3 linked regions of the Drosophila melanogaster genome follow. The protein of the gene in region 2 interacts with the protein of the main gene of each other region in a pairwise test. Each region holds a gene or a part of one and is shown on either strand. Other genes may lie near its edges. The genes, in order: CG12253, Gas8 and spartin.

What was found.
Region 1: the proteins of Gas8 (region 2) and CG12253 interact in a two-hybrid assay, tested with the Drosophila melanogaster proteins (one large-scale study listed by BioGRID).
Region 3: the proteins of Gas8 (region 2) and spartin interact in a two-hybrid assay, tested with the Drosophila melanogaster proteins (one large-scale study listed by BioGRID).

What each region holds. Positions count from the first base shown.
Region 1 is NT_033779.5:10,985,810-10,995,451, reverse strand, and holds CG12253 (uncharacterized protein), read right to left. Parts: upstream 7,647-9,642; 5' UTR 7,618-7,646; coding exon 7,297-7,617; intron 7,167-7,296; coding exon 6,470-7,166; intron 6,404-6,469; coding exon 6,285-6,403; 3' UTR 6,211-6,284; downstream 1-6,210. Other genes in the region: TTLL4A (tubulin tyrosine ligase-like 4A), read right to left, coding at 1,431-1,709, 1,779-1,949, 2,018-2,457, 2,530-2,654, 2,721-3,078, 3,132-3,482, 3,567-4,393, 4,669-5,267; piwi (P-element induced wimpy testis), read left to right, coding at 8,120-8,203, 9,324-9,642.
Region 2 is NC_004354.4:3,499,765-3,510,048, forward strand, and holds the start of Gas8 (growth arrest specific protein 8), read right to left. Parts: upstream 5,088-10,284; 5' UTR 4,778-5,087; coding exon 4,775-4,777; intron 3,668-4,774; coding exon 3,625-3,667; intron 1-3,624. UniProt on the Drosophila melanogaster protein: Cytoskeletal linker which probably functions in axonemal and non-axonemal dynein regulation. May play a role in the spermatozoa motility.
Region 3 is NT_033777.3:4,650,235-4,661,182, forward strand, and holds spartin (spartin), read left to right. Parts: upstream 1-4,565; 5' UTR 4,566-4,845; intron 4,846-4,924; exon of another isoform or gene 4,925-5,036; intron 5,037-5,283; 5' UTR 5,284-5,298; coding exon 5,299-6,421; intron 6,422-6,668; coding exon 6,669-6,975; intron 6,976-7,346; coding exon 7,347-7,578; 3' UTR 7,579-7,751; downstream 7,752-10,948. Other genes in the region: Karybeta3 (karyopherin beta 3), read left to right, coding at 351-500, 565-1,659, 1,749-3,102, 3,218-3,855. UniProt on the Drosophila melanogaster protein: During postembryonic development, functions with endocytic adapter Eps-15 in neurons to restrain synaptic growth, by inhibiting BMP signaling, and to control synaptic endocytosis. Required presynaptically for neuromuscular junction (NMJ) neurotransmission.

The sequences.
Region 1 (9,642 bases), on a different chromosome or scaffold from region 2:
ACTTTTATTTTTCAAACTTAAGCTATTTGATATTTTTTTTATATTTTATAAATTGGGCAACTCAAAAAGTGGTAACAAGAGAATATTTAAAATGTTTTTCTCTGCATATTTGTGTTGAACGATAAATTTCTAACTATACGCTTTTCGCTACATGGAGAGAAAAAACATGTTTTGCATAACCAATCAATATTAACAAAAGGTATAAGCATTGTTATACATTATTTTTGTGAGTTAACTATTGGTCAAATGAGTTCGAAAAAAAAAGGTAAGAAGTCCGTGGAATTATAAACCTTATAATATAATGATTATATGGAAATTTTCTTTCAAAAACACACTACATTCGCTATGGATATAAATCATCAGGCGCAGTTTACTTTGCGATGGTCCGGGTTGGAAAATTTGCGTAAATATGTTTATTAAAATGTTATTTTTTTTTATTTTTTTTGTTTTTTTTGTGAAAGATTTGAGGTCGGCGCGTTGGAAAAGCTAGTTATGGACAGCCGATTGAGGTATATTACCATTTAAAGACCCACCTGACGCTGGAAGAAAGTCTTGTTCTGGACTCAGGTGTAAGGAATATGCAGTGTGATCACCTTCAACATACTTCATATACGCAGAGACATAAAAAGAAATTATAGTGATGGTAACGTCGAACAGAAAAACACAAACAAGAAGGCAACGCAATGCAATGAAATACATATGGATTCGGTGAGCAGTTTCTGTTAAAAGTTATTTGCTATAGGAACATTTCAATTACATAGAACATCTGGATTTATAACTATATGCATATGGGGCCTGTCGGCAAAAGAGAACATCACTATTTGACCATCCCTCTACTTGTAATTTTATTTAAGCTTCGTTATTTACCTATGCATTACTGGTAAAGAAAACAAAAGATTTTTACGTTATGGTAGTTAACCGGTAGAGATGACAAATACACTTTGTTGTCCTGGATATATTTTAAATAAAGACAGTACAAATATTATAACAAGCTTACTGGTTTTCATCTATCTACTAATATTCGAGATTTTATTTTACGATGACTCTGCGTGGTCAACAGATAAGACTTACTATGGCAAAGAGCGCGGCACCGCCAAAAGAACGATTGTATAAATCTCCAACAGCCCTCAAAATTTAACAAAAGTAGTCGAGAATTTATGAATATTTTAACTGATTTTTAGAACAGTATTTTTGTGTACAAAATAATTAAAACGTGGGCAAATACTTAGTGTATGTATAGAATGCAGTGCAATATGCACTTGCTTTCACAAATTAGGTTTATTATAAATAAAATAGGATAATAACTTAAGATACTTGTAGTATTTAAAAAAAAAAATATCCTGACCTACATATTTGTTTTGTATAGTTTACGATTCATTTAAATGGGTCTTGTGAAAAGCTTCTGCACTATTGATGAATAAAGATCTCACCTTTTTGGCTGGAGGAGTTGGGACTTGAAGATGATATTTGTTTTGACAATAATCGCGCAACAACGCTATCCCTTCTGTGCGATTGTTAGCGTAGCGGGATTCCCAGGCATCCAAAAGGCGATTGTAATACCGCGGAGTGTCGTTGTATTTAAGGTACTTATGGGTTTGATCAGTTGGAAAGATGCGCTCCAGCGGTGCACATCGCGCTAGTTCATCCTCGGCTATGATAAGGCACCTCACATCATCGGGGGTCAGATTATTTAGGATCGCATCCACATACTGTGTTGTATTAAATGTTATAGTATGATTAGCAACCTATCCATTTGGAGTATCAAATTTGCGCCTCACCTCATTCCGGTCTTCCATAGACTTTCGGGTAAATGTGTTATGTTTGATCTTTTCCTCGCGCGACAAGTAGTTAATGTAAAGCCGCTTGTCATAGCACATTTGTGTGCCGGGAGGAAAGGAAAATTCTGCGGCCAGTTCTTTTTGCTTATCAAGCGATAGTTTTGGAGGTACCTTAAAATATGTATCATCATATATATAGTTATACGTTCTAAATTCATATGTAAAATGCCAGCACTTACGTTGTACAGCGCTGTATTAAGAACGCCCTGCACTAAAGGCGCTTTAACATGAGCATCTAGGGGCAGTTCCGAGTGTAAACTGGGCGAAATATTAACTTCCAACAGCCAAGGCACAAGATCAGAGTCCAGAATAACATCGAAGCCGAATAGCTCGAAGCAGCTGTACTTTGATTCAACATTTGCTCTAATCATGCTATTAATGCCATTCTCGCCAGCAAGAATTGTCCGAAGCACCAAACTCCTCAGAGCCTCCCACAGACAGTCGGTACGCACTCCACGATTCGCCAAATACGTCCACAGCGACTTGATAGTCCACTTATGTCCGTGGCAGGCATTGACGTCTTCGTTCTTCGAATAGTTCGAGGAAAACTTATTGATGCTGTAGTTGGTCAAATGCATACACCGATCATTCAAAGTGTCCGTTTTAGCGCTGTACTTTACTGAATATACATAGTATAGTTTCCTTTGGGTTAATATACGGCTCACTCGATTTTAGATAAATATTTACTTACCTGAAGCGAACCGTGCCAATCCGTTGTGGTACATGAACACTCGCAAGGGATTCACTGATGTAACCAAGACATACAGACGCAGATCAAATTTACTACCATTTATTAGAAGCGGTCGCTCTATATACCTATGTAAAACAAATCGGGAATAATTATTATGTTTCCGAAGCTTTTGATCCTTAGATGCTACATACTTTTGTACGATAAGGGGCCTTCTCTTGGGTATCTGGCCCCATCGGTTGATAACCCTGATGCCAGCACCCCGAGCACTAGCTGGTGGCTTTATAATCCACTTAGTATTTCGCTGGGCATATTTCGGCCAGTGCCGGCGCAGCGCTCCCAGATCATTGGGAATAATGTATGTGCGTGGCATGAACCCGAATTCCTTGTTGCTGTGCTTACCCATCTGCCTTTGCAGATTCTTCCAGCACGAATCCTTTCGGCCGATGCGAAATGAACCGGGCAAGTGATTAATTTTCTGATACGAACGAATGGCCTTAAAACACGGTGACTTTAAATGCTTTCCCCATACGCCCATCCAGTCGTTGGTTTCTACTTGCGAAAATACATATTAATTGATATCTGATTATTATGTAGAAACTCACTCTTTAGCATTCGCATTCCGCTGTTGGCCAGAATCAGACGAACTACCTTTGGCATTATGTTTGTAATGCGCCACTTCAAAACGCGATGAAGATCCGGCGGCACGCGTGGACCTCTTTTTGTGTTCGACGAAAAAGACAAATAAGGGGGCACGTAGGGAAACAAACTGGGAACCAGAAGGGAATCCGGATTTTTCAGATCATCCTCAGACGACTGCGAAGACAAGAAGCTGGGCGTGCTTTGGGGCGATGAAAATCGATCCACAGAGTGGGTAAGCTTGAAGGCATGGGCACGATAACCGTCCTCAGTGTCTGACAAAACACTCGCCGTGTCGCTTTCGTCGAAATTTGATACTATTATTTGGTTAAACAATGAAGTACAAATTAGTTAATTATCAATTAATTAAAAAAAATAGATCTAAGGTTAACAATTCTTACAATTGTCGAGATCATCATCTTCGTCGAAGTCGTCATTACGATCGAAGTCAATGGCACTACGGTGATCTTCCTGTTTGTGTTCCGGCTCCAGCAATAAGACCGTCTGTCTTTCATCACCTGCACCCAGTACCTTGGAGCTCTGCTGCTTTACACTTAGCCGCTGGGTGCTGAACTGCTGCTTGCGGCCGAGCCGTGGACTCTGAGTGCTGTACAGCAGGACTCGGTGAACCGTGGGCATTGGCTTTTTGGTAGACACGGTCCCACCTTTGGCCCTCTTTGGCGTCATGGGCAACCGTGGCATGGGCTGATCCGTCGACTTACGCATAATCTTTAATTCATTATTGTTGTTATTAATAAGCGTGTCTCCGGAGCCATCCAGGACCGTATTTTCGGTCATTCTGCAGTAGCGCCGATGTACTCCGACCTGCTCCAGCCCATTGTCAATTACAACAACGGGGTCATAGCTATCTTTAATGTCCCTGTAGTCATCTTCGCTTCCAGGGTCTCCTCCCCAGCCATTGTCTAGGTAATCGGCTTTTAAATCATTGCTTGGGAGCTTTTCCTTTAGCACGTGCTTCTCATACTTTTGACCCTGCCAGGTCCTGTCCTCGGAATTGTCCCTTCGTCCAATGATAACTGTGCCATCGACTTCTCGCGAATCCCTGCGACTGGCGCCGGCCTTTTGAAATTTACTCATTGGCACTTTGCGGCTATTGGCAGCGGCAAACGTTGGCTTGGACAGTTTCTCCGCTCCACGGTTGTAGAAGTACGAAAAATAGTGCTGATAGTGCTGGTTTGTCGTCTGATACTGGACCGGGCGTTCCGAGCTGAAAAACGAGAATGGAAGGCGGTTATTTACAACATGGGGAACAAAGGAAACTGTTTATTGTTTACACATCTATGTATGTTCAATGAGTGTCTGTGGATATATTGTTAATGTACTCGCAACTAGAGTGTTGTGTGGTATCTATCTGTAGTTTTCCAAATTGTAACTTTAAGACTCGAACACAACAACAACAAAATACGTGTGTGTGTGCGTGTACTGGAGGTATGTAGTTTCAACAAGCAGGACAATTAACAAAAAGGCATTTGCATAAATTACAGTATGTTATCCCAGGTCGGCTCTGGTGAGGGGGAATTGAGTGGCCGATATCGGTCCGGACTATTGTCCACATAATCGTTGGACACACGTCCCCCTCGGTCTTTCCGTTTCTTTAGCTCCGCATCAAAGTATACGATGGATGGCTGCAACAACATCTGCTGCTGTTGCTCCTTGTCTACGGCATATGACCTTGCCTGCTTGTACTGCCTATTGGAATGCTGATCCTCCGATCGCTGTACCGTCTGATAGACGTACTCGCAGCTCTTGTTGCCAGCTATCCGCTGGTTGACCAACGATTGCTGGCCAAATGCATCGGTAAACAGTGATGAGTCCGGCGCCGAATTGGCCGCCGATTGGTGGTAGCTTGATCTGGCCGATTGCTTGGTGGGAATTCTCTTTGTCGGCAGATTATGGTTCTGGTTGGGCACTGAATTTTGATTCTGGTTCTGGCGATTGCCCCACGCTGGAGCGATCAGGTTGCAGTTATCGTAGCTATAGTAGCAAAACGTATTGTCCGCATTGCAGTAACGTGACGCCGGGGCTCCATTGTTGTTCAGACTGTTGCTAGCTGGGATATGATAGCCGCTGTTGTTACGCATGTCAGATCCTGGTCACCCAGTCATATATCTGTTGAGGGGTACGTACTAAGCTCGATGTGATCTCTGACTCCGCTAACCCAAAAAAAGGCCTACAAACAGGTTTTAAATGCTGTGAATGATTTCTGATCGGATTTGGACGTAAGTTTACGGATGCGGATTAATCATATCTGGTGGATAGATAGAGAGAAGCCAGAATGCATAGTATGCCACTCTGGCGGTGAATATACAATATAGATTAACCCCGCCATCACCCTGGGCTACCAAGCGTAGCTGCCACTCCGTAAACCAGGTCATATGTACAAAAACTTACTTGCCTCGCGATTTGTGACCTTTACTTTGTTGCTGCAGCTGGAAGGATTAACGGGCACGGAGCAGGATTGCGGTGGCGGTGGTGGTGTCGTTACTCTACCCAAGCGCAGGACTCCCAAAATCTAGGTCACTGGCACTTGTCGTCAGCTAGCTCGGTGTGATTACATTGCCAGCACGAAAAATGCGCCAGGTGTAAATGTATGTAAAATGGAGGCAAAAACTGAAATGCAAATCGAACACACATCCTTTATAATCATAATGATTGCGGAGGCACAATATACCTACAATATAACTAATAGCAAATGCACAATTTTGTCTAATAAATATATTGGATTATTTGGTAGCTTCCAGTTAAGCGTGAAATTCTTAAACGTTCACTAAAACTTTTCACAGCCTATGACAACAAAAAACTAAACTACTGTTTTATTGAAGAACAGAATATCCATGTGCACAGTTTGGAGATGGCAGCGTGAGCACCTCAAACTGCCACCTCGCGATAGATACCGATTGCGCACGCACCAGCTGTTCGGCCGATAGGGGACTTCCCGAAGAAACCGTTTTAATCGCTCACTTTACCCGTTTAGCCTGGTTTTGAATCGGAAAAACACGTAAGGAAAATCGACATCATAGGTTTGTTTTTAATAATTTTAATACTGAAAGTTACAAATTGTATTCGTAATGGGTTCTGTTTGCAAGAACTCTTATTTATTAGCAAGCAAAATGGGTTTTAATGAATTGTCTTCGATTGTTGTCATCTCCGGATTTTGGTGACCTTCCTATGGAATTGAAGAAAGTGGAATTAAAGGGTGAAATGTTCTGTTCCGTATCTAAAAAGATAAATGAAAACCAATAAACAATGAGCACTTTAGGATCTATAGCATTAGTTAGCTTACCAATGCTTGGATCGACCCACTCCATGGCCATGTTGTGGAGTATGGCCAACGCCGTAATCGTTTGCTTTGCAGATCCATGGGAACCCTGGATTTCGGTGGCAAGGATACCGAAGCGACTCATCAGCAGATTGAGACACTTTCTAGCCGATGCGTAGGTGACCGCGTGGGCGTGGTTATACAGCTCCTCGGATTGGTTCCTCGGGAATCGAACCGGTGTGAACAGGGAGGAGGAGCAGCGCACCATTTCGTTGCCCAGCAAAATACGACCCCGGAACTCGTTCTGTTCGAATCGATCCTTTATTTTGGACAGACCGAACATCTCGGTGTCGGTGAGCATGGACTGCTCATCGATCAGTCGGATATCAAGGTCCCTTATCTTATGAGCCGCATCGCAAACAATCTGAATGTGAAGTTCCTCCTCCCGGCTGGTAAGGGCGGGCAAAAGCTCCTCTCCATCCAGATCAGGGGCACAGTTTTCCGGTTGAAACCTCACAGTTGTCTGTAGTAAAGCACCAATGACTTGCGGCATATTGGCAATTGCTTGAAACGCCGAACCAGATCGCTCCTTTTCCGATAGAGTAGCCGGCATTCGGATATACCTGGAAGCTTTCGATGATAGGACAGATGCCACGCGCCTAGTTATTTTTGCCAAAGTGCGTAAACTAACGCCATGGGCCATTGCAGTTAATTTGGGGTGCTTAAATAAGAAAAAAATTTAGTAACAAATCTTAGTTTTCATTTTTGGCGGGCAATTTTGAAAGCCAGTTCACACGGTTTTGATGTACATACAAATTCGCGAGTCTGGCATACAGAAATGTTTACTGTACCTCTGTGCCGCCCCACAAGCGAATAGCGGATAGAATCTGCAAATCTATTGGAACTTGCTCCCTCTTTAACGGCTCAAAATATTCAATTTCCAAGTCATCCCGTACAATTTCAATAATTCTGCGAAGGTTTTCCTTAGTGTATCGGTACTTTAGTCGAAATTTATGCTCATTTAGATCGGTCAATGGATTAAATCTTGGGTTCCTTTTCTTTATATGCGTTGCCCGCGCTCGAGAATTGTGTTTGATATTCAGAAAACATTGAAAGTCTTTGAAATAATCAAAGTCTTTTAGAGACCTTTGAAATCTTTGTATATCTTCCATTTTCACTTGTTTACTTGCATAGCAGGGTGGCTGTTTTGTATATATTAGAAAATACCTCATACGTACATGCGGTATTTAAGGCTCTTGCAACGATTGAAATTTTATGATGAAACTTTACACTTTAAAAATAATCTTTTTAAATGTTGTTAATTAAAAAAATGTAAGTAAGTAAATTAATACTTTTATTTTTTTTAAGCACGTTATGTACTTTTGGAGTTAAATAATTTTTTTTTATGTATTTCTATACTTTTAAAAAAACAGAACAGAAAGAAATCAAAGCTCGAAGTACCAAAAAATAAATACTAGGGAAATAGAACCTATTGCGAAGATTTGCAAAAGCGATTGTTTTCAGTTGTGAAGACTAATATCTACACATTCCAAAAGCTTAACGATCTTTGAAATCTGGCCATTTGGTCACACTGAGTCCAAAGCGTCGTTTTCAAAGTACTCTTTCAGTTTCCATTGTGAAGTTTTAAGTGATCGCGAGTGCCAAAAAGTAACAATGGCTGATGATCAGGGACGTGGACGCAGGCGTCCACTTAACGAAGATGATTCCTCTACTTCCCGAGGTAGTGGTGATGGGCCGGTATGTAAACTCTTATTCAAGCTAGGAAAAAAAATCATAGCGGTAAAGCAAATTCCTTATAATTCCGTTATGTCGCAAACACAAACACAGCCATGTACATAGATTGTAAATGCGCGCATTTCTTCGGAATTCGACACCAAAAGGAAGCACTAAAACTAACAAACAAAAATCTGCTATGAATTTGAGCTTGACTGCATAAAATCTTCTTGAATTTCTGTTGACCAAGCACTTTTTTCAAAGGGAATTCATTAAACATATTTCCAAAAACGCTTCTTTCAATTTGAATTTCCAAGGAAATGTAAAGCATTATCTGTTTCGTTTCATTTATTTTTTTTTAATAAAAACTGCTAAAATAACCATCACCTGACAGGAAGGTGGCTGTGGCAAGCCGAATCTTATTTACCCTTGCAGTCTATGTCTTTGGAATCTGCATGCCCGACGTTGATATGGACGGACATGACCAAATGGACCCGGCTAGTGATACTCATCAAAAATCATGGTCGGAAACGCTTCCTTCTATCTGTCACATACATTTGATTCCTAGAAACTCTACGAGTAACGGGTATTTCTCCGATATTCATCCCAATTCTATACAACTTTGAGATGGCTTTCAGCATTGATATACTCTGAAATTGCAGGCAAAGCATACTACAAAAACTATTTTTTACCATTTTTTTTCTGCTTCATCTTTGATTATGAGTAACAATATTTTCGTAGCTTGACCGTTAGTTTTATGATTTAAAATCTGTCGTACTTTAGGTAGTTGTTTAAATGGCTCACATTTAGGAATCACAACTATTTGTTTAAACCCCTTAATATTTTTTCTTTTAATAATAAATAATAAACAGGTAATACTTTTTGATTGTTCATCGCGATTGTTTTCAATGTACAAAGTTGAGTCTTTCTGGTGTTTATTGCTGTCTCGTGTTTATTGCTGAATCTCGCACGATCTCTCTCTTTCTTCTATGTTATTTTTTCCATCGGCGTCAATTATTCATAACTGCCGCTAGGTGGAGCTAGTGTGCAGTCATTCACTTCTATTAGGAGACAGCGTCCTCTATATCTAATATTATAATTTTTTTTAAATGAGTAACTTACATCATTTAATGCTTTCATGCAGCGGGTGAAAGTATTCAGAGGATCTTCATCAGGTGACCCGAGAGCGGATCCTCGTATAGAGGCTTCAAGAGAGAGAAGAGCTCTCGAGGAAGCTCCCAGGCGTGAAGGTGGCCCGACAGAGCGAAAGCCGTGGGGTGACCAATATGATTACCTGAATACCCGTCCGGCTGAGCTGGTATCCAAGAAGGGAACCGATGGCGTCCCGGTCATGCTGCAGACGAACTTTTTCCGATTAAAAACCAAGCCGGAATGGCGGATCGTTCATTATCACGTGGAGTTTGAGCCGAGCATCGAGAATCCTCGTGTCCGTATGGGAGTTT
Region 2 (10,284 bases):
TTGCTCTAAAAAGTCCATGACATCAGAAAGTGCCTGTATTTCTTTTGTCTTTTTAACATGGCTTTCATATAAATTGAGTGATTCTTTATTGAATTTCCGAAGAATTATGTGAGCGAAAATTGCATCCACATCTTCTGGTAATTGTGCCTTTAATTTTATAATATAAATTGACTCGTTAATCGTGTCAATAAATGTCTTTATTTGCTTATTGGATTCTAAATTTAAATTTGGCATATCCATAAGCCTATTCATATGATCTGAGAATATGTTTCTTTTATTCTCATATCGCTTGGTCAAAAACTCCCAAGTGGCTTCATAATTTTCTCCAGAGCCGAGCAGTAAATGAGTAACCACATTTCTGGCTTCTCCTTTTAATGCTGACTTTAGATAATTAAATTTGAGAGAAGGACTGAGATCCTCTCTCACATGTATGAGCTCTGTAAAGAGTTCATTAAAAAGATCCCATTCTTTGGAATCACCAAAGAAGGTGGGAATCTGTATTTTAGGCAGGGTTGGTAACTCCTTCGCCTTAACAACCGTCGACATTTCAGCTTTATTTATTGTGCCACTGAGTCGACTATTAATGGCTGTAAGAATATTTTGTTTGTCAAATTCAAGTTCGCTAATTTCTTCTTCGAATAGCGAACTCTCAAAATGACTATTCACCTGTTCAATCAGGTTATCTATTTTATGCCATAAAAATTCAATTTTATTTTTCCTTATTTTAAGGAAATCTGGACTACTGTCTATTAGTTTAGACGTATCTTCTAGATATACTCGAAATTGGCCAACATTATTACGAAATGCCTGCTCTACTTTTAAAGCGTTGTTTTGTGCTATACCCTCTTTTTCAGGGTGACCACGCATTTCAAGGTTTAATGTAGGGGGAGGGTTTGATTTAGGGACAGTGTTTGATTTAGGGAAAGTGTTTTCTACCGACTCGCCCTTAATTTTTTCATTTTTATTTTTAATTTTTTCTAACACCATCATTATTAAATCATACTGCTTCGCGTTAAAATATTCATGATCGACAACGCCGATCTTTAACAAATTGCTATGATTAGCAATGAAACATTTTTGAAGCTCATTTAATTTTAGAATTTCTACATCTGTTAATGTTGGTTTTACTTCCAACTTTCTAATTTCCAAAATAATTTCGGACTGCTTCTTAAGGAATTGAATAGTCTTTTCTGACATCATTTTGAAAATTTTTTGTAATTTCTTAATATATATAGTACGTGTATATGTATTTTATATGTATTTATATATATATGTGTGTTTGGATAAACAGAAAATTCTTGTTTTGACTTAGCTGATGTCGTTGTTGTTGCTGCTGCTGTTGCTGCTGTTGTTGCTGCTGTTGCTACTGCTGTTGCTGCTTCTGCTGCTGCTGTTGTTGCTGCTTCTGCTGCTGGTAGAGGCTCCTTTGAATTTGACTTCCTTCTCTTCTTTAAGGCTCCGTCGATGTTTAAAGATGATTTTTTTTTTTTTTTTTTTTTTTTTTGGCACGTTTTATTATTTTTGTAGTCCAGTCAGATTTTTTGTTTTTTAGCCATTTATTTCGGCATTTATGCTCTTTTGGCATATACACTGCACTCTATTTATGAGCTGATTTAATGCTATTAGAGCATTTATAAGGCACTGTTTTCAGGCACTTTTTATTTAATTTATGCTCTTATGGCATATACACTGCACTCTATTTATGAGCTGATTTAATGCTATTAGAGCATTTATAAGGCACTTTTGTTATGCACTTTTTAATTTCACAATTGCTGATGTATGGCCTCAAGCACGCCTTACCACAATTTATAATGGTACACAAAGCAACCTTTAGCTATAGACTATAAGGTGCTTGTTTTAAAACATAAAAGATTCTTTTGTATCTTTTGCTTTTTATATTTATACTCTGTTCCTTACCTTTGGTAGGGGGAAACAAGAGTCACTTATTTTTGCTACCTTTAGCTGTAAGATGCTTAAAGGAGCTGGCCTTTCTCTGAGTTCCTTACCTTTGGTAGGGGGAAACTGCAGAGTCGATTAAAGGCTCGATTGACCAAATGTAAAATCCCAAATAAGAAGACTTTACTCGTTGAGTTTTTGTAAGAAACTGATTTTATTTGGAAATATCTTCGGTTTAAATAGGTGACATGAGAATCGCATCTTAAAGTAAATGGCCTACGCAGAGGCCTACGTAAATAGTCCCCGCCTTATCGAGGTCCCACGCTCGGGCACATCTGCCTATCTTGAGCGGCGAGGACCTTATCTGTGGTCTCCCACTAAGGGACTATTTTAGGAGGCGGGGAACGATCTCAAGTGACTGACTCATGTAGTGTGCACTTAAATTACATGTTTTTGAGCAATGCACCCATGTCGCCTTAGATAACAAAATCCTAAATATAATTTATCGCTCTCGATTCATTTACATAAGATATGAACGGAGCCCAAAATTGTAAGTCTTTAAATATATTCGTGTTCATGTGTGAACAGGAATTTTTTTGTCTTGGTTATTTTCTAATATTGGGCTAGGGGTCCGTGAAAAGTTTAGTCCGCATATTGGGGGCTCCCGTCCTTATGGCTATTTAATGAGAGCGGCACGCCTGGTTACCCTCTCCTCCCCCCCCCTTTTGCCCCTTTTTCGTCCATTTTTACCCCTGCCACGCCCCCCCCCCCCCTTCCCTTAGCCGCTGCCCGCATATGTGACCCAACAGCAGACCGTGTTGTAATTGTTTTCTGTAATTGGCATCGTTGGCCGGCTGGTGCCAGGACTCGGCCTAGGAAGGGCTACTAGGACCAACAGGACCAACAGGACTACCAGGAGACGAACTAGATGCCACACGGTGGAAAAAAGACCAAAGACATTGCATTGCAAAGACAATTTGAAGTCAAAGTGAAGGAGCGCGTGTAAACTATTTAGAGACATGTGTTAAGATAAGTGTGTGGCATAAACAAATCGATGATATAACTATAATAATACGATACACTAGGAGTTTCCTTGCGTTCCACGAGTAAGAGCGTTTTTCAGTGCACGCACAGAAACAATTATGTGCGTTAGAGAGATCCCAGAGAGCGGAGGATGGTTGGGTATTTGTGGAACCTACAGTGTGCTCACTCGTGCAAATTAAGTGGTCAGTTTGGAACCCCCCCTCCCCATTTTTTGCCTTTAAATTTTCTGACTGCAAGGCTGCAGTCAGAGCAATTGCATCGGGAATTTCTTGTCCTCAACGCTCCTATCGTCCCTATCGTTGCGCCCGCGTCCTGCCTTCTCTTTTGCTTCTCTCCTCACGCAGATTATCGTTATTTACTAATTGTTTTGCTTGGCCTTTATAAATTGCCCTGAATGACCAATGTCCGCCATTCCGGCTGCCCAGATATCCAACTACCCAACTACCCAGTGGTGGCACCCTGCTGCCATTAATGTTCCGAAAATGAATTGCCAGGCAGTCCTCGTCCTTGTTCAGTTTGTCTACTCGTTGAGGGTCTTTAACAGCCGGTGTTCTTAAAGAGGGCACTAAATGAATTTTGCAACAATTAACTGATATCCTTCACTTCAATTACCGTTCAAAGTAGTTAAATTTGGGAATTCATAAATCTATGCTAAAGTGCAGTTTACTCGAGCTTTTTACTTACCTGGCAATTTTTTGCCTTTTTTGCCCTTTTTCCCTTTAGGCGGCTGTAAGAAAATAAGTTCAAATGAAATTATTATTTTGATTTAGTTTTAATCTCAAAAGAGAACGCACGTTACAAGAGAAAATCTTATTTAATTCATTTAAAGAATCCGAGCCGAGCAGGAAACTCAACTTGAAGTCTCGGCTGAACTTGCAGCAAAGAATTTCCACATTTGTCTATGCAAATTGAAAGAGTTCTACTCGCAGGAGAATGGAAATGGGGTACTGACTGTGCAATTGTCGTCTGCAGTTCGCCACTATTTTTCGCACTTTAAATCCTTTAACAACGTTTAATTCGATTCCCTTCACGTGGGAGAAAGGCAGCGAAAGGCGGAGAAAGCGGGCAACTGCCATCGTTGCTTTAAATAATGTGATGGCGCGGCTTTCAAAACAATTTCGCAACAGCTGTTGGCTGTTGGCTGCTGGCTTATTGCATATTTTATGACTGCAAATTATTCAAAAATTTTCGAAGCCGCCTGCGCCCGTCGCCAACCGCGCTTTCGCATGTCCAAAGGCGCAATGTATATATTTATATATATATATATATAAATATAAATATAAATATAAACATATATATGTAGCCGATGGAAAAAAGGCGGATATATGTTGGGGGCAGGTCTATACATAAACAAATGATCGAAAATAGACAACCAGCAGGAGTTGGAGAGGAGGACTCCTGCTTGACTGCTATAAATACACAGTGGAGCCACTGTAAAGGGAATAGTTATACTAACTTAGGTTCTCCCTACATATGTTCTTATATAGACAGAACGACTACTAAAGTTGCTTTGAAATGAATGCGCCATACCAACGTTGACATTTTGACTAGCAGTAGCAGGACAGCGCCTTGCCGAGGCTTCACTGTAGCCCACTCGCAAAGTGCAGTTTGTATATGCAGCAACAGCAACAGCCTGGCTTGGCATGAAAAATTGAATGCGCCGCTTGCAGTGCAACTGAAAAAAAAAATCTGAAAAGCTGAGACCAAAAGGAGCAGCGGCATGGAACCGGAAATCGGATAGAGGCGGAAACTGCTGCTGGCCAAGCAGTGCGGCCATAAGGCGGCCGAATGGGTGCACTGCTTTGTTAATGTGATTTAACAACTTATTGCTCACCATACTGCTGCCGGTGCTTCTTCCTCTGCTTCGATTCCTCTGCTAAGAATAAGAACCACTTCGGCTTGGTCTTTCCTGCCAACTGAGCTATTGGCGTTCTACGGTCCAACAACCAAACAAACTTATCGATAAAGCAGTTGCCAATGTGTGTGTTGTGGGTGTCTCGTGTATTCGTGTGTGTGTGTGTGTGTGTCTCCGGGCAACCGAAAGAAGAGGTTAAAGGTTGAAGCGTTGTTTTTTCGGTTCAGTCTTCTCTCAATTATATTTCTACGGCAGGGACAAATGGTTTTGAACTGGCAAAATTCAAAATTTGGGGAAACTTTTGCAGTTATCAACTGGGTTACTAGGGGCGGGAAGATTTTCATGTGCTGAAAAACATCTAACTAAAGCGTAGTGATATTATTCGAATATCATATTATATATATTTCTAAATACAAAATGCAGGTATACATTCAACAAAATAAACCACATCTACTTTGGTATACGCGTGTGCCCGACATTAGTTTGCTGCCCAAGCCAGTGAAAACCAAAAAGCCAGCCCAGACCAGACCAGACTCTTTCTCTTGTCGCCGTCTGCTGTCTGCTTCCTATAAATGGTCTCTTGAATTTTCTCTGCCCCGGTTTTCTTAATTTTCCACCCTGCACATTGGCCCCAGAATTTTCCCTGCATCTGTTTGTTTATTTGCCGTTTGTTGGACGGACTTTAAATGCTGTTGGCACTGCAGTCTCTGCTCTTGACTACTGGCTAATTTGATGATTTCGTGAAATACGATATTATCAGGAAGCTGACAGATCTTCGGCTTCTCCTTTTGCTTGAGAATTGCTTGATGGTCCTGAAAATCTCGGTCGAATCAACTTTATTAGTCCGTTGAATAGCACAGCACCTATGGCCTGGAATTTCCCCCAGAAACTCCGCCACTTTCCCGCCTTAATTAATGCTGTCTAGGGGCGGGGCAGGTTGGGTAAACAAAAGTCGGTGGGCTCTTCGGTTAAATGCTTTAATTGAAATTAATAACCGCAGCCAGTTTTGGCCAGTTGAGCAGTACGTCGGCAGTTGAGACAAGTATCCCGTGGCTTTCGCATGGGAAAACATTTTCGGACCCGGCACATAGACACCGAGAATTTTCAATTGTTTTCATTAAAAGTCAATTTTTGATAGCAAAGACGCTGTGGCTGGCTTACAGACAGAAAAACTATTATTTCCACGTTATAAAAATGTTTATAGCCAAGACTTGAAGTGGCGAAGCGACACGGAACAAAATACATATGATCCAACATATAAAATGGGAAACAAGTTTTGTTTTTTTTTTTTTGCAATCTAAGCCGTTAAGTTACCCAATTTTCCTCCTGTGTACCTTCAACCCTTTTTAGACACTTTTCCATCTGCCCTGCATAATTTTTGTTTCATTTTATTCTTGCCAACGGCTGCGGTCGGTCATGGCCCATTGAATTCCGTAACGGCTGCCAAGGGTTAAAGGGGTGGCAAAAATGGGTAGCCGCTGAAAAAGCACTGATTGAAAGTGAAAGTATTTAAAATATGATTAGAAAATTTGCTTATCAGGACCGAGGTGTGTGCGCGCTTTAAGGAGAATTCTTTAAGAAGCGAGAAAAGGTAAACAATTAATAAGATGAGTATCGTCTATGCACGATCCAATCAAACATAAAGGAATCTCGTGTATATCGTAGGAAAGCCTCAAGATCTCAGTTCTGCTGCGAAGTAATGATACGCTCCTTAGAGCTTCTTCCCTGTTGATTGAATAGCATATGGGCAGCCATCGTGAAAAATTCAATTCGATACAACCAACCAGCAGACACCTACTGAGATTTTCTACCAATTCAATTACGAAAATGATTAAATTATTATTATTCCTTATTTTCGAACAAACCTGCTGGTTTCCACACACGACAAATATAAAATAATAAAACCGCAAAGCCAATGCATAACATATATTGTTTTCAAATTAATGTTTTTACGTCTTGCGTTTTCTTTTGATTCTAATTGAGTTCCGTAATTTCCTTTTAAAGAAAATGCAATCTGTTAAGTTTTAGTTCTTTTATTTTGTCAGAGCTTTACTCTGGGTAAAAATTTATACATTAAATTAAATGTTTTATTACATATTGTTTTCGTTCTCGTAGCAGAAGTCCAATAAATGCCAACTCAGTTGATGCAACTTGGGTGTGTTGAAAATCGTGGGATTTTTCGGAGGGGCCAAGAGTAGGTGGAAAGTTAATGGAGAAAGGGATGAGGGGGGGGGGAGTGCAGTGCTCATTGCGGTGGCAAAAGTTATTTGCTGTGTTATTTTCACAACAACTTCCGCTCGGCGCAGAAACGGATATCCTGCCTCTGAGTGAGAGATTCGGATTTGTACAACTAAATATAGATAAAGATAGGATGAGGAAAAGTTGTTGGTGCAGCTGGTCGGAGGTCTTGTCTTGTCTGTTGTTAGCTGGAGAACCCCTCAAACGCCCCTCGTCGTATGCAAAATTCAGCTTTTACAACTCCTAGGATCAAACTTTGACATGCGACCCAAACTCTGGAAATTTAAACTTTCTGATTAATTTTAATAAATATATTTTTGTCCTTTATTTGTAGAATTTGTTCGTTTACCATATAATATATATAATTTGTCTTGTATATATATGCTTGTTTATTAATTATATATAAGATATACTTTACTTTATGCGTTTACTGCTGGTTTATATAGAGCGGCTCTCAAATTTTTCAGTGAGATTATCAAGAGAACTTTGATTAAGCTTCAGTTTTTTTTTTGTTTTGTGTGAACGTCATTGATTGATTCTTAAATCCATCCTAAATACACATTACAGTTTATCCTCGTTGACTATATACAGTTTTTTTTTTTTAGCTTTAACTTTTCTTTATCATGTCTTATATACAATTTTAGGCTTAAAATCTAATAGTTATTTAAGAGCAACGAAATGAAAAATTATTTGTTACACATTTAAATGGATTTTAGCCACAACAAAACTATATACATAATGTGAAAAGTCGAAAGATTCCAGGATTCTATAACATTTCCTCTAGTTTATCTTATTTATTTTCGTTCAGCATTTAGTTCTGCTTATAATGGCACATAATGTTATTGTGTAATTCGATTTTTTTTTTTGATATAAGTACAGTACCATAAAGGGAGATATATCCCGCTTAGCATATGAACAACCTTTAATGGCTCCGATTCTTGTAGAGTCCATTTTAATAACTATGATTTGCATTAAATGTAAGCCCTAATTAACAAAGTTCCAAAACGAATTTAGCATTTGCTTTATACATAAACCAAAAGAACTGGTCATCTGCTGCTGTGATCAAAATCAAAGGGTTTCTAGTGCATTTTTAAAAGAAACATTTTTAATTAAATTCTTCTTTTGCGCGGGGTGTTTTTTTTATTATTTATTTTGAAAAATGATTGATCAAAAAAAAAAAAAAAAACGATTTACTTTACAAATAAACTGTAGAAAGTATTTTCAATACTCTACAGAACTGATAGCGTTTTCAGAAAAACTGAACCAATATATTTAGGGCATTACTATTATTCGGAGCATAACGGTATGACCACCTAAATTTCTATATATATATATATATACGCGCAGGGGGTTGCTTAGACGTTGTGGCTAGATTTGGTTTTATTGTTCCAGCGACAGTACAAAGCAGCTCTTAATTAAAATGCAACAAATGCACAAAGGATACTGCAGCAGGACAACTGTTGCACAATGGGTCTCCGAGCAGGACTCGAATAAAATTTCAATTAAATCAATTCGAGCATGTGGCCAGAGGGGCCCAGTGTCAAGTGTCCTAAAGGCCCGAGTACCGAGCGCTGAGAAGTACTGCTGAGAACTCAGTCCATCGTCCTGCGTTCTTCGAGTGCTGCTCACACATACGAGCAACATGCAACTTGCTAGTTGCAACCAGCAACCTGAAGCAGCTGTAATTGAATTTCTGCTGCTGGAGTGGCTTGTTATCTCGTATTTGTTTAATTTTATTTCTTGCTCGGCCGCCCGGCAGTCATCACAAACTGATGAAAAGATACGGCTGCAAGCCAAAAATTTGGTTCAAGCTGGGCTATTGGCTTTAGCCAAAACACGTAGAAAAGGGGGGGGGGTGTGTCTAAAAACGTGATGCAACAAACAAAGAAACGTATTGAATAGGCAAGTAAACCAACTGGATCAGTGGAAAATGTTATCGGCAAATAAATATTTTTATACCAAACTGAGAACCAACCTTGTGAGAAGAGATCAATGAATTAATTAAAAAAAAAAAGCGAAGCCATTTACCGGGATACAAGAGTGCATACACTCACACTCACAGGCTGCGCACCAAACACATACTCACACCCTCAGCATAATACATATACACTTAAAGGAATATTCAAGCCGACACTCATTTCATTATTAAATCAAAAATGTTGAGTAAATTTCAGCCAGCGGCTGACAGACTCCGCACTTATGTTGCTCATATTTTCGCTGTATATATTTTCCTTTTACTTTTCGCAACGTATCATCCATGCCCCCGCCTTTCAACGCCCCTTTATGTGTGTGTAACAATTCAACTTGATTGCCATTTGTTTTAGCGAGCTGCTGTCCTGTCTTTTCCCGGAAAATGCGGAAAATGTTTTGCGGCCAACACACGCACACAAGTACATTTTCCCCTACCCCTGCCACGCCCCAATCCCCAGCCACCATCAAGTAAGCGGTGTATTCAATTAAACTTCCGTCAAACATGAAGCAAACTCCCAAACTCCCCCTGAATTTTCCACTTGCCTTGGGGTTATAAAATAAACATGTTGCCACACACAAAATTTAAATAGATACAAGTTCGCCACACTGCATAACACAATAAGCCGCAGTAAACCAAAGGCGGTTGAAAAAAAAAATGAACGCCAAAGGAATGGACACCAAAAAATTTTGCCGAAGCCAGTTATAAGTCATGATAATAAGGTTGGCCTAGGAAGGTGCCTACGAATTATTATTAAAGTAGAGCATGACTCGGAAAATCATTGAAAATCATTGAAGGAAAATAATTGTTATGAAACAATTTTTTTGTTTAAGAAAAATTCGCAGAGACGCACTTGAGCGATTCCACGTCGCATATTAAAACCCATTTTCTTTTCCAAAAACAAAACCAACTTAAGAACAGCAGTCACAACAGCAAGGAATGATAAAAAGGGAAATGCGAAATTAAAATACAATTTGACGGCATCAAATAGAGCAATTAAGCGCTTCTCCTCCCGCCACGCCCACTCAACATGCTGCTTTCCCCGCCCACGAAGGAAGAGAACACTTGGATTGACAGAGACGGCAGGACTCACACGCACACACACACCATTGTGCGCAGGAAAACTTGATTACAAGTGTCGCGGAAAGCCCCAAAAAACAACTCAAACTGTGGCTCCACAACAATCATAAGCACCGAAATGCACACGTACACTGGAAAAAAAGGGGATAAAATATTACAAGTACTATATAGTACAATAAATCTGAGTTGCCGTGCAACGACA
Region 3 (10,948 bases), on a different chromosome or scaffold from region 2:
CAATCTGTCGGTTGATAAGCCACTCGGATTCCGAAGTCTCGCTCCGGCGCCACATGGCACCGCCACGCCCACGCCACACCAGCCAGAAAACCCCACCCACTCTGTTGACCTTGGGCAGATGGCAAGCATGGTACCGCTTCCACCCAAAGTTCCACCTGGATTGCTAAAAATACCTATTCAGAATTGTGACTTTGCTTTTCACTTGAGAGATGGAAATAATCGAGATCCGTTTTAAATTGTTTCAGAGCCCAATGTTGTCAAGGTGGAATTGTATTTACATATATAAATAATATTTATATATTTTAAAATTACATCGAATGGATATGTACAAAAACCATTTTTAATTCCAGGAAGCATACAACAATCTTTCAAGAGAGCTGAAGGTGACGCATCTCCTGGGCAACATCCAAAATGGCCAGCAGTCGGAGGAGGCTCGACAGATGGCCGCCGTGTTGCTGCGCCGCCTGTTTACCACCGAGTTCTTTGATTTCTACAAAGGGGTAGGCATAAAGCCGCGCAGAGAATCGCCCTCTGAGCATCTTTCTAATATTACCTCATTTGCAGCTTCCAGCTGAATCCCAGAACCAATTGCTTCAGCAGATCCTTTTGGCCGTGCAGCAGGAGGTGACGCCGCAGCTGCGTCGCAAGATTTGCGAGGTAGTTGCCGAGGTGGCCAGGAATCTGATCGACGAGGACTGCAACAACCAGTGGCCCGACATCTTGCAGTTTCTCTTTCAATGCGCTAACTCGCCTACGCCGCAGCTGCAGGAATCGGCACTGCGGATCTTCTCTAGTGTGCCTTCCATATTTGGAAACCAGGAAGCTCAGTACATTGATCTGATCAAGCAGATGCTTGCCAAGAGCATGGACGCTGGATCCGATCCGGAGGTCCGAGTACAGGCCGTGCGAGCCGTCGGAGCCTTCATCCTCTACCACGACAAGGAGAACGAGACGGCCATCCACAAGCACTTCGCTGATATGCTGCCCCGCATGATCCACATCACTGGCGAGACCATCGAGGCCCAGGATGATCAGAGTCTGCTAAAGCTCCTGATTGAGATGACCGAGAATTGCCCGAAGTTCCTGCGTCCCCAGCTGGAGTTCATTTTTGAGGTCTGCATGAAGGTTTTCAGCTCGCAGGACTTTGAGGACAGCTGGCGTCACCTAGTGTTGGAAGTTATGGTGTCGCTCGCCGAGAACGCCCCGTCGATGATACGCAAGCGAGCGGACAAGTATATCGTGGCCCTGATCCCGCTGATTCTCCATATGATGACGGATTTGGATGATGACGAGAACTGGTCCACCGCCGACGTGGTCGATGATGACGATCACAGCGACAACAACGTGATCGCCGAGTCCTCGCTGGATCGCCTCGCCTGTGGATTGGGAGGAAAGATTGTGCTTCCGCTCGTAATGAACGCTCTGCCGGTTATGTTGGGTCATGCCGATTGGAAACATCGCTTCGCAGCCCTCATGGCCATCTCGGCCATCGGTGAGGGTTGTCACAAGCAGATGGAAGCCATCCTAGATGAGGTAATGTCCGGAGTCCTGAACTTCCTGAGCGATCCTCATCCTCGCGTTCGATACGCCGCTTGCAACGCCATTGGCCAAATGTCCACCGACTTTGCACAGACCTTCGAGAAGAAGTTCCACAGCCAGGTGAGTCTTAAATTGCAACTGCTTTATCAACTTTCTAATAAGCAATTGAAATTAATTAAATGCTTAACAATTTTCCCTTGTTTCGCCAGGTGATTCCCGGCCTCTTGTCTCTTTTGGATGACGTGGAAAATCCGCGAGTGCAAGCACACGCAGGTGCCGCTCTGGTGAACTTCAGCGAGGACTGCCCGAAAAATATATTGACACGCTACCTGGACGGGATCATGGCCAAGCTGGAGACTATTCTGAACTCGAAGTTCAAGGAGCTGGTGGAGAAGGGAAACAAGCTGGTACTGGAGCAGGTAGTGACGACAATTGCATCGGTTGCAGACACCTGCGAATCGGAATTTGTGGCCTACTACGATCGCCTAATGCCATGCCTTAAGTTCATCATCCAGAACGCCAACTCGGATGATCTCCGCATGCTTCGCGGCAAGACCATTGAATGCGTGAGCTTGATAGGATTGGCGGTGGGGCGGGAGAAGTTTATTGGTGATGCCGGAGAAGTCATGGATATGCTGCTGGTCAATCACACCGAGGGGGGGGAACTAGCTGATGATGATCCGCAGACCTCCTATCTCATCACTGCCTGGGCACGTATGTGCAAAATCCTTGGCAAGCAATTTGAGCAATATCTGCCCCTCGTTATGGGACCAGTGATGCGAACGGCCACCATGAAGCCTGAGGTGGCGATGCTGGACAACGACGAGGTGGAGGACATCGACGGTGATGTGGACTGGTCTTTCATTAATCTTGGCGAGCAGCAGAACTTCGCCATTCGCACGGCTGGCATGGACGACAAGGCTTCGGCCTGTGAGATGCTGGTTTGTTATGCTAGGGAACTAAAGGAAGGATTTGCCGAATACGCTGAGGACGTGGTGCGTCAAATGCTGCCCATGCTTAAGTTCTACTTCCACGACGGTGTCCGCACAGCTGCTGCTGAGTCGCTGCCTTACCTTCTCGACTGCGCAAAAATTAAGGGTCCACAGTATCTGGAGGGCATGTGGATGTTCATTTGTCCGGAGCTGCTCAAGGTAATCGTCACGGAACCGGAGCCAGACGTGCAGTCGGAGCTGCTGAATTCGCTGGCAAAATGCATTGAGACATTGGGTCCGAATTGCCTTAACGAGGATGCCATGAAACAAGTTCTCGAGATTATAAACAAGTATGTTCTGGAGCATTTCGAGCGTGCTGACAAGCGTTTGGCGGCTCGCAATGAGGAAGACTACGACGACGGTGTGGAGGAGGAGCTGGCCGAGCAGGACGACACAGATGTTTACATCCTTTCCAAAATCGTGGACATTACACACGCCCTTTTCCAGACCAACAAGGCTCAGTTCTTACCCGCCTTTGAACAGGTGGCTCCGCACTTTGTCAAGCTACTGGAGCCCAGCCGACCTGTAGCTGATCGGCAGTGGGGCTTATGCGTGTTCGATGATCTGATCGGTGAGTTGGTTTTCTTAATTGAGTTTTGCAGTTCAATAGTACCGCCGATACCTTCAAACATCAAATCATTTGTGCCACCATAAAACTAAAGACTTGTATTCTCATTTACCTACAGAATTTTGTGGCCCCGCTTGTGCTCCATACCAGCAGATCTTTACGCCAGCCCTCGTCCAGTACGTGTGCGATAAGGCCCCAGAAGTGCGCCAGGCGGCTGCCTACGGATGCGGGGTGCTCGGCCAATTCGCTGGTGAGCAGTTTGCGCATACATGCGCCCAGATCATTCCACTGCTGGTGCAGGTCATCAACGATCCCAAAGCCCGCGAAATCGAGAACATCAGTCCGACAGAGAATGCGATCTCGGCGTTTGCTAAGATCCTCAAGTACAACAACTCGGCGCTGAGCAACGTGGACGAGCTGATCGGTGTTTGGTTCTCATGGCTGCCGGTGTCCGAGGATTCGGAAGAAGCCGCCCACATCTATGGCTACCTATGCGACTTGATTGAAGGCAACCATCCGGTCATTCTTGGGGCAAACAACGGCAATCTGCCGCGCATTGTCTCCATCATCGCTGAATCCTTCTGCACCAAGGTGGTTGAGGCGCAGTCCGCCACCGGCACTCGTATGCTCACTATCGTCAAACAAGTGGAATCGAATCCGGAGGTAATGGCTGCTTGTGCCAGCACCTTGAGCCCGGAACAGCAGCAGGCGCTGCAGGATGCCTACCGGGAGCTGGCAAACGTGGCTCCCGCCTAAGATATCGCAATCCCAATCCTCTTCAGACCAAGTCCATTCATGTCGACCAAGCCAAGAAAGGAACGATGGATGCTTCAGCTACTCGTTATCATTATTTTTCATCTTACCGAAATTTTGAAGTATATGTTTAACACATAGATATCCATTTATACAGATATACATTTATGTGTACAATAGAGTTATCCGGGTATATAATTCTATACATATTGTGATTTTAATCAAAACTCTTCTCCCGAAGACAAAAGTCTGCCTCGTTAGAATTTGATATGTTGTATGGATGCGATCCAAATGCCATCCCAATCACACCCAAATTCCAATAGAATATTTTCGTTACTCAAATTTTCATATGTTTAATACATATGTGTGTATATACGGCCCTAACGGCCGCCTCTCCCTGCGGGGAAAACAGGATGTAAACGTTGTCCGAATCGAACGAAATATAATTTTGTGCATTCAAACCAGGATCGACAAATATATTTAAAGGAATAACATTTATTGTATTTTAAACATGATAAAAACGAAATAAATAACAAGTAAATCGATATTTTAATTGCCACGAGCTTATGTTTTAGTATTGCTTTTTATTATTAACCATTCATTCAATTTCAAATTCGATTCCCGCAAAAGACTTTTCAAAAGTCGTTGTGGCAACTCTGTCTGTGGCAGTGAACATGCAGAGGCCTCCTAAACAGCTGATCTGATTCGCAATGGAAAGTAAGCAAATCAAAACAAAGATGGAAAAACTTGGAACATTCAACTCGAATGGAAAACACACATTTTAACATGTTATTTACGAATTTAAGTGATATTAGGCAAACGATATTCTCACTTTAAAGGTGTGCGACTAAACAGGAGCAGAAAATAATTCGTAAAATTAGTGAGAAAATAGCGAAAGAGAGCGTTTCTCTGTTTGCTTTCTAAATCATTAGGTGACTTGGTGGGCAAAGTGCAGATTAAACGCTCAGAATCAGACGAAACCAAAACCCAAAGGTGAGTGAGTGCAACAGGTAGACGGTGAGTGCAGCGGAAGGGCGGATGCGGTTTCGTTGGCCACAGTTCAATTTAGAGCAGCTGCAGGAGAAGATGTAAAAGCGCGTCATTCCCACTTTGGTGACGCATTTTGGTCACCCTTTTAGTTGGTCGCGGTTGCCCGCCTCGTCGGGATGTATCTCTGCCAGCAAGTTCGTTTACAATATCTTAAATCTCACGAATATTAACAAAATATGTAGTAATTTGCACTATAAGACTTACACAGAACTTTGCGAAAGGGGGATTCATAAGAATAAAGACAGCACATAGAACATGTATACTAACTAAACCATAAATAACCATAGTCATTGACTTTAATAGATTCTTAGTTCTACATACTAAAGTTTTGAGGGCTTTGGTTTTTTGTATAGTATCTAATGTTTCTGTGCTGTTTCTTAGGTATTAAAGGCCGCGATGGCGGAGGAGGAAAGCGAATTCCTGGAGGCCTATGCTGGCATCAGAACAGCCTACAAAGCGGCCATGACTCAGGTGGACCTGGCCGTAAGTCACGAGGAGCAGGAATCCCCCGGCCAGGCCATTGTGGCCTATGAGCTGGCCCTGCGTATGATAGAGGACACCTTCGGCATTCCAGTAGGTCTTCCCAACAAGATCGACACCGTGCAGGCGGAGTGGAACGACGCCTGTGCGCTGATCCAAAAGCTCAAGAGCGCCGAAACGGAATTGAGATACCGCCTCAAAGTTCTGCGATCCCAGAAACAATCCATTGATGATTCAGCCGTGGAGGCCACGGAGGAAAGTCGAGCAGAGATGGATACAAAAAGGCCGCCGTTGCTGGCGGAAAACCCCTCCACGCAATATGGCATAGCCAATGCTAGCGGAGCACCAAAAACCTACAGAGAGCTCGCTGCCGGCTTGCGGGAGCTCTTGGCTGTTCGGGACGCCAAAGTCTTGCTCGATGAGCTCTTCCGTGCACAGGTCAAAATGTACCGAATCGAAGCCAGTGGATCAGTAACCACCATAAGCGGCTCGTCAACTATGTCATTGGTAATGTGCACCGTGGGTGGCAAATGGAAGTACCTCAGTGGCATCTACTTCATTCAGTGCTCCATGCCAAATGAGGGGACTGCAGGGATTTGGCTTTACCCCCTGGTTCCCTCGATCACAAACTGCTACCAAACAGAGTACGGAGCCTTTATTTTTCCTGATATGGAGTGCCAGCAGCCGGGCAATGCATTTGGTTTGATGCTAACGAAGGAGGGCCAGACATCGCGCACGGAGGACGAACTGGAGGATCTTCAGCAGTTCTTTCTTGACCTGTTGGAGGCCGTACTCGCTGGCACGGTAGTGCAGCTGAAATCGCCGACCTCCCAACGTGCTGGCCTAGCTTCAGATACCGTTTCCGGGTCGGAGCAGGTGTCCAGACACATTGTAAGTGCGGCTGATTTCATTGCTAGTAACCTGGTACGGGGCGCCGAGAAGACAGGAGGCTTTATGCTTAGGAGTACTCCGTATATCATTTCCAAGATGACGCCAGCCTCGATGGATGCTCAGGTGCCCAGCTCCGTCCAAACTTCAGGTGAGTTAGTTCCAAATAGGGAAGAGCTGTATTTAGGGCGGAAGTATGGTAGCTTCCGAATGAGCATGTAACGATAAAATTAGAAGATAAGATTCGAAGTCGAAGATGTGATCGTCACTACACTTCCACCTCGATCGGAGTTTGTGCTTGTGTTTGATAATCATGTTAATCAATGGTTTGGAAATGTGCAGATTACATATAAGATAGATCTAATGTATCTTATGTTGTAACCTTTTGTTCATTATAGTTGAGGTGGCCCAAAAAGTGACGCACGCCGCAGCCGGAATGACAGGATGGATAGCTGGAAAGGTGGGCACTGCTTCAATGGCAGTCGGCCGCTACCTGGCTCCCCACATTCAGGAGCAAGGCTCTAAACTGCTGCAGAAGGGATTTGGCTACGACACCAGCGAGGCTAATAGCACCATGGAGGGCGCCATGACCATCGCGGCAGGAGCCGTGGAAGGAGTGAGCACCGTATTCGATGGCCTCGAGACTTCCGCCAAGATCCTAGGCTCCAGCCTCAGTGAAAACTCCGTCAAGATAATCGAACACAAGTGGGTTGGCTTTGGCTTCTTAATGCTTATGCAGTTTTGTAACAGATGTCATTACGAATTTTCGTCCGAATTGAAAGTAATCACTTAGGCTGGCAACGGTTTATTCAATTTAAATATATCTGAGATTTAAGTTATGCGCAATGTGCAGAGGATCGCAAAAATGATCAAGGATCGGGAAATGTTACTCAAGCTTGCACACAAAGAAAAGTTTTATAACTTGTTGTGAATCGTCTCAAATATGTAATGCTACTAAAGGTCTACTAAGATCTAGATATTCATTTTGGGTTTCTTTCGCCTTCGAAAAAGAAAAACATATAGTGCGGGCATTTTTAATATTTCATATATTTACATATATTTATTTGCTATTTCAGATATGGCCAGCAGACGGGGAATCTGGCTAGTGGCACCTTTGACACGGTGGGCAACGTTTTCGTGGTCAGTCAGAACGTGAACTACATAACCCCGAAGGGCATTGCCAAGAAAATGGTCAAACGAACAGGAGAAGCTGTGGTCAGTGACTACAAGCGAGACTTACGCAAATCGGAATCTCATTATATTAATGCCGGATCTCTTTATCCGGATCTTCGAGCTTTGAAGGAATAGCGGGAAAACCAAAGGAATTTATCACATGTTATTATTATTATTATTATTATTATTATTATTATTATTATTATTATTATTATTATTATTATTATTATTATATTGAAATATTTATATGCCATTTATAGCTTCTAATTAAAAGAAAAAATATAAATAAATATTATGTTCAATAACACATAAAAAAGATATTTCGAAAGATTTTGCATCAAAACCTTATTTTAGTGTTCAAAAATGCTTTACTTTTGTATTTGTAGATAAACCGAAGCTAGAAAGTATTAAAAAGAAAAATGTTTAATTCACTTTGTATATTTGTATAACCTAAATTCTAGCTTCCTAGCACTCCAACCGCTAAGTATCGGGTATCTTTTGTTTTTAAATTAAAATGTCCTGATTTTTGATACACAACTCAGTCCTCTTTCACTAATTTAAAAGAATTAACAATTTTAGCAAGGAATTTAGTATGAACGTACCATGTAAATTGTGAACAAATGTTGATCTAAGTATCTTTAGATTGACGATCAATAAAAAGCCGTCTAATTTAGCGGCTTTAAATCCTCGTAAGTACTGTCATAGCTTCCGATCGCCTGAAGTTACAGACTTTTGAATCTTATATTGTTGAAAAGGTTATGTTATTTGCATTATTTCCTAACCATTTCCTAAGACTCTATATAGCTATCTTATTCCTTATTCTTTTTTCCTATCTTAAAAAGCACTCTGATCAAGCAAAAACTTTGCGGAACGAGTCAAATTTTATATAAACAAGTTAGGAATTTATATAACGAGCGATGAACCCCACATATATACTTTGGCGAAATATGGTAAAACTTCACGTTTTGTTTTATACACGAGATATAGAATGTGATATTCTATAGGTCCTAAGTGTCATATATCAAGGAGCCCATATATTTAGTTAGGGTTCAGCTCCCGAATCAGAACATAACATAACATGAATGACTATAACCCCTATTGTTGGTAAAACTTTCTCCTAGACTATATTTACATTTACCTTATTATAGTCCTTTTATCCTATTAATATTTATATTAGGAGAATATAGGAATATGTATACTCATATTATTGTCAAAATCATATGAATACATTTTTTTATATATATTTATTAAAAAGAATCCGTACATAATTATATTGTATCTTAGCATCACAGGGTGGAGATTTATTCTTAAGAATTACCAGTCGATATATAAAAAAAGTAAAGTAAATGAATACATTTGTTTTCAAACGTTAGCTCTCGTGCGAGTTCCATTCTGAAAATAGGAATGGGTGTTTAAATCCTCACATGATTAGTGAGAGGTTTGGTTTTATCATTTATATGTTAATTGCGCTGTTATGTTGCTATTGCTGCATTGTATGGATTCATCGCTTCTAAATAAATAAATTTAAAAAAAAGGAATGGGTGTAGCATACTTTCGGGACGCGCAATAAAAAATTATCTTGAAATTGGTTTGGTTTTAAACTCCGCCATATATCATTATATAATATTATATATTATTTGATCCCAAAGCTTCATAGATTGATCCATCAGCGTCTCGTTGATTTTTGTATGCAATACTTTACGTACTAATTCAAAAACCGAGAAAGTTGTTAATTATTTTGAAGGCTTTTCGCCGAACAACGTAACAAAAAACGTAAGAGCGTACAGAGAGACCTTGCCTGCGGACAGATAAAAATACCGCTCGTAGTCCGATTCGACCCACCTCAACTGATTCAGCTGGCCACACTCCGCCCCATTTTTATATCCACAAATTCCTACGCTCGGCAGTACGTTTTGAACTCGGCCAAAAGGAGGTGGCTAAGAGTTTAGCGCGGCACGCAAGCACATAATTCCCCGCTCGGACGTGATTTCGCCCCTTGGTACATGAATACATGTGAATGTGTACATATGTGCGCACGGGAAATAAGGCAGGAAAAGCCCAAAGCCACGGAGTTCGGATCCGAGAGTCTTGCGTTTTGTTTTGCGCAGCACTGCACCTGTGCAGTGTAAAATCGTGAATTCAGTCGAGGTGCAACTGCGGCGCTTGTGCGGTTGAGGGAGGAGAGTTGGCAGAAGTGTGTTTGTGTGTGTATGTGGGTGGGTAGTGCCTTTTATTTCCGATTTTGACGGGAGTCCAATCCACCAAGCTGAGTAGTTGCAATTACGGCGCGGCGGAAAACTGTTTTTCTCGCTCACAAATACATATGTACAACCTGTATAAACAACAACGACTGCCGTAAACAGCCAACTGCGAACGCAGCAACAACAACAGTTCTAACAACAGTACACAAGCAAACACGTTTCCCGTTTTATTTTCTGGCCCGCGTTTATTAGTGTGTGTGGGTGCGCCTCTGTGTGCGAGTGCGTATGTGTGCGTGTGTACGTGTTGCTCGCTCGAGTATAGAAATTTCTAATGATTTTTGGCCTGTTCCCGAAAAGCAGCTCCAAACAACAACAACAACAACTTTAGGACTCTGCAGTGGCTGTTCCAATTGACTCGCCATTCTTTTGAATTGTTTTTATATATGTAATTGAACGCCGAAAAACAACTGTGTAAAAAACAGCATCTGTGCCAGCAACGAACAGAGCTTCGAATTTTGTTGGTAAGTGTTTTCAGCTTCTGCACAATGAATAAAGTAAATAATAAGTGAATAAGTGATTTCAAAATCTGCATTTTGAAACCGTAAAAAGTGTAGAAAAGAAAAGTGTAAAAAGGTAGCCAATTGTCTTAGTAACGTGCTTATTTATGCAATTTGTAACTATTGGCTTGAAGTTTACATAAAAAAAGGTCCATTCGAAAAATGAAGACTAATATCTTTCCTATCTTTCCTAACGGATATCAAAAAGTAGGATTGGGTAAAACACATTTCTCTCGGAGATTTTTCTTCATTGAGCGGATCGCTTAGATCCATTCATCTGACGCAACAGTAGCAGCAAAATAACGTTGTGATGACCAGGACTAGGGATATGACCTCAAGCAGCATTCTGGGACCTGGATCATGTTGGTCAGGCGGAACTTGTAGATGGAGGCTCGTGTTCTGGAGTGAGGCTTGTGAGCTTGAGTTGTACATTCTTGCGATCCATCCACCGATCTGCTGGCTTTCGAATTTGATGTTCGACAAATGTGTCTCAAAAAAATTTCGACACCCTCGACATGCGTTTCTGTGTTGGCTTTGATAGGTTTTTTCCCCAAAACATTTTCACTTTGCATGCCAATTTTCTCACCGCTCAAACTTGCAGCACTCGGGCGCCTAGTCATTTATTTGATATCATCATTATCGTCATTGCCCGAGCTACAGGCTACAGGTTTTTAGCTAATAAGGTAATGGCAAAAAGACGGGGAAAAACGGCTGAATTATAATCGAAAGAAAAAATCCATCATTGGA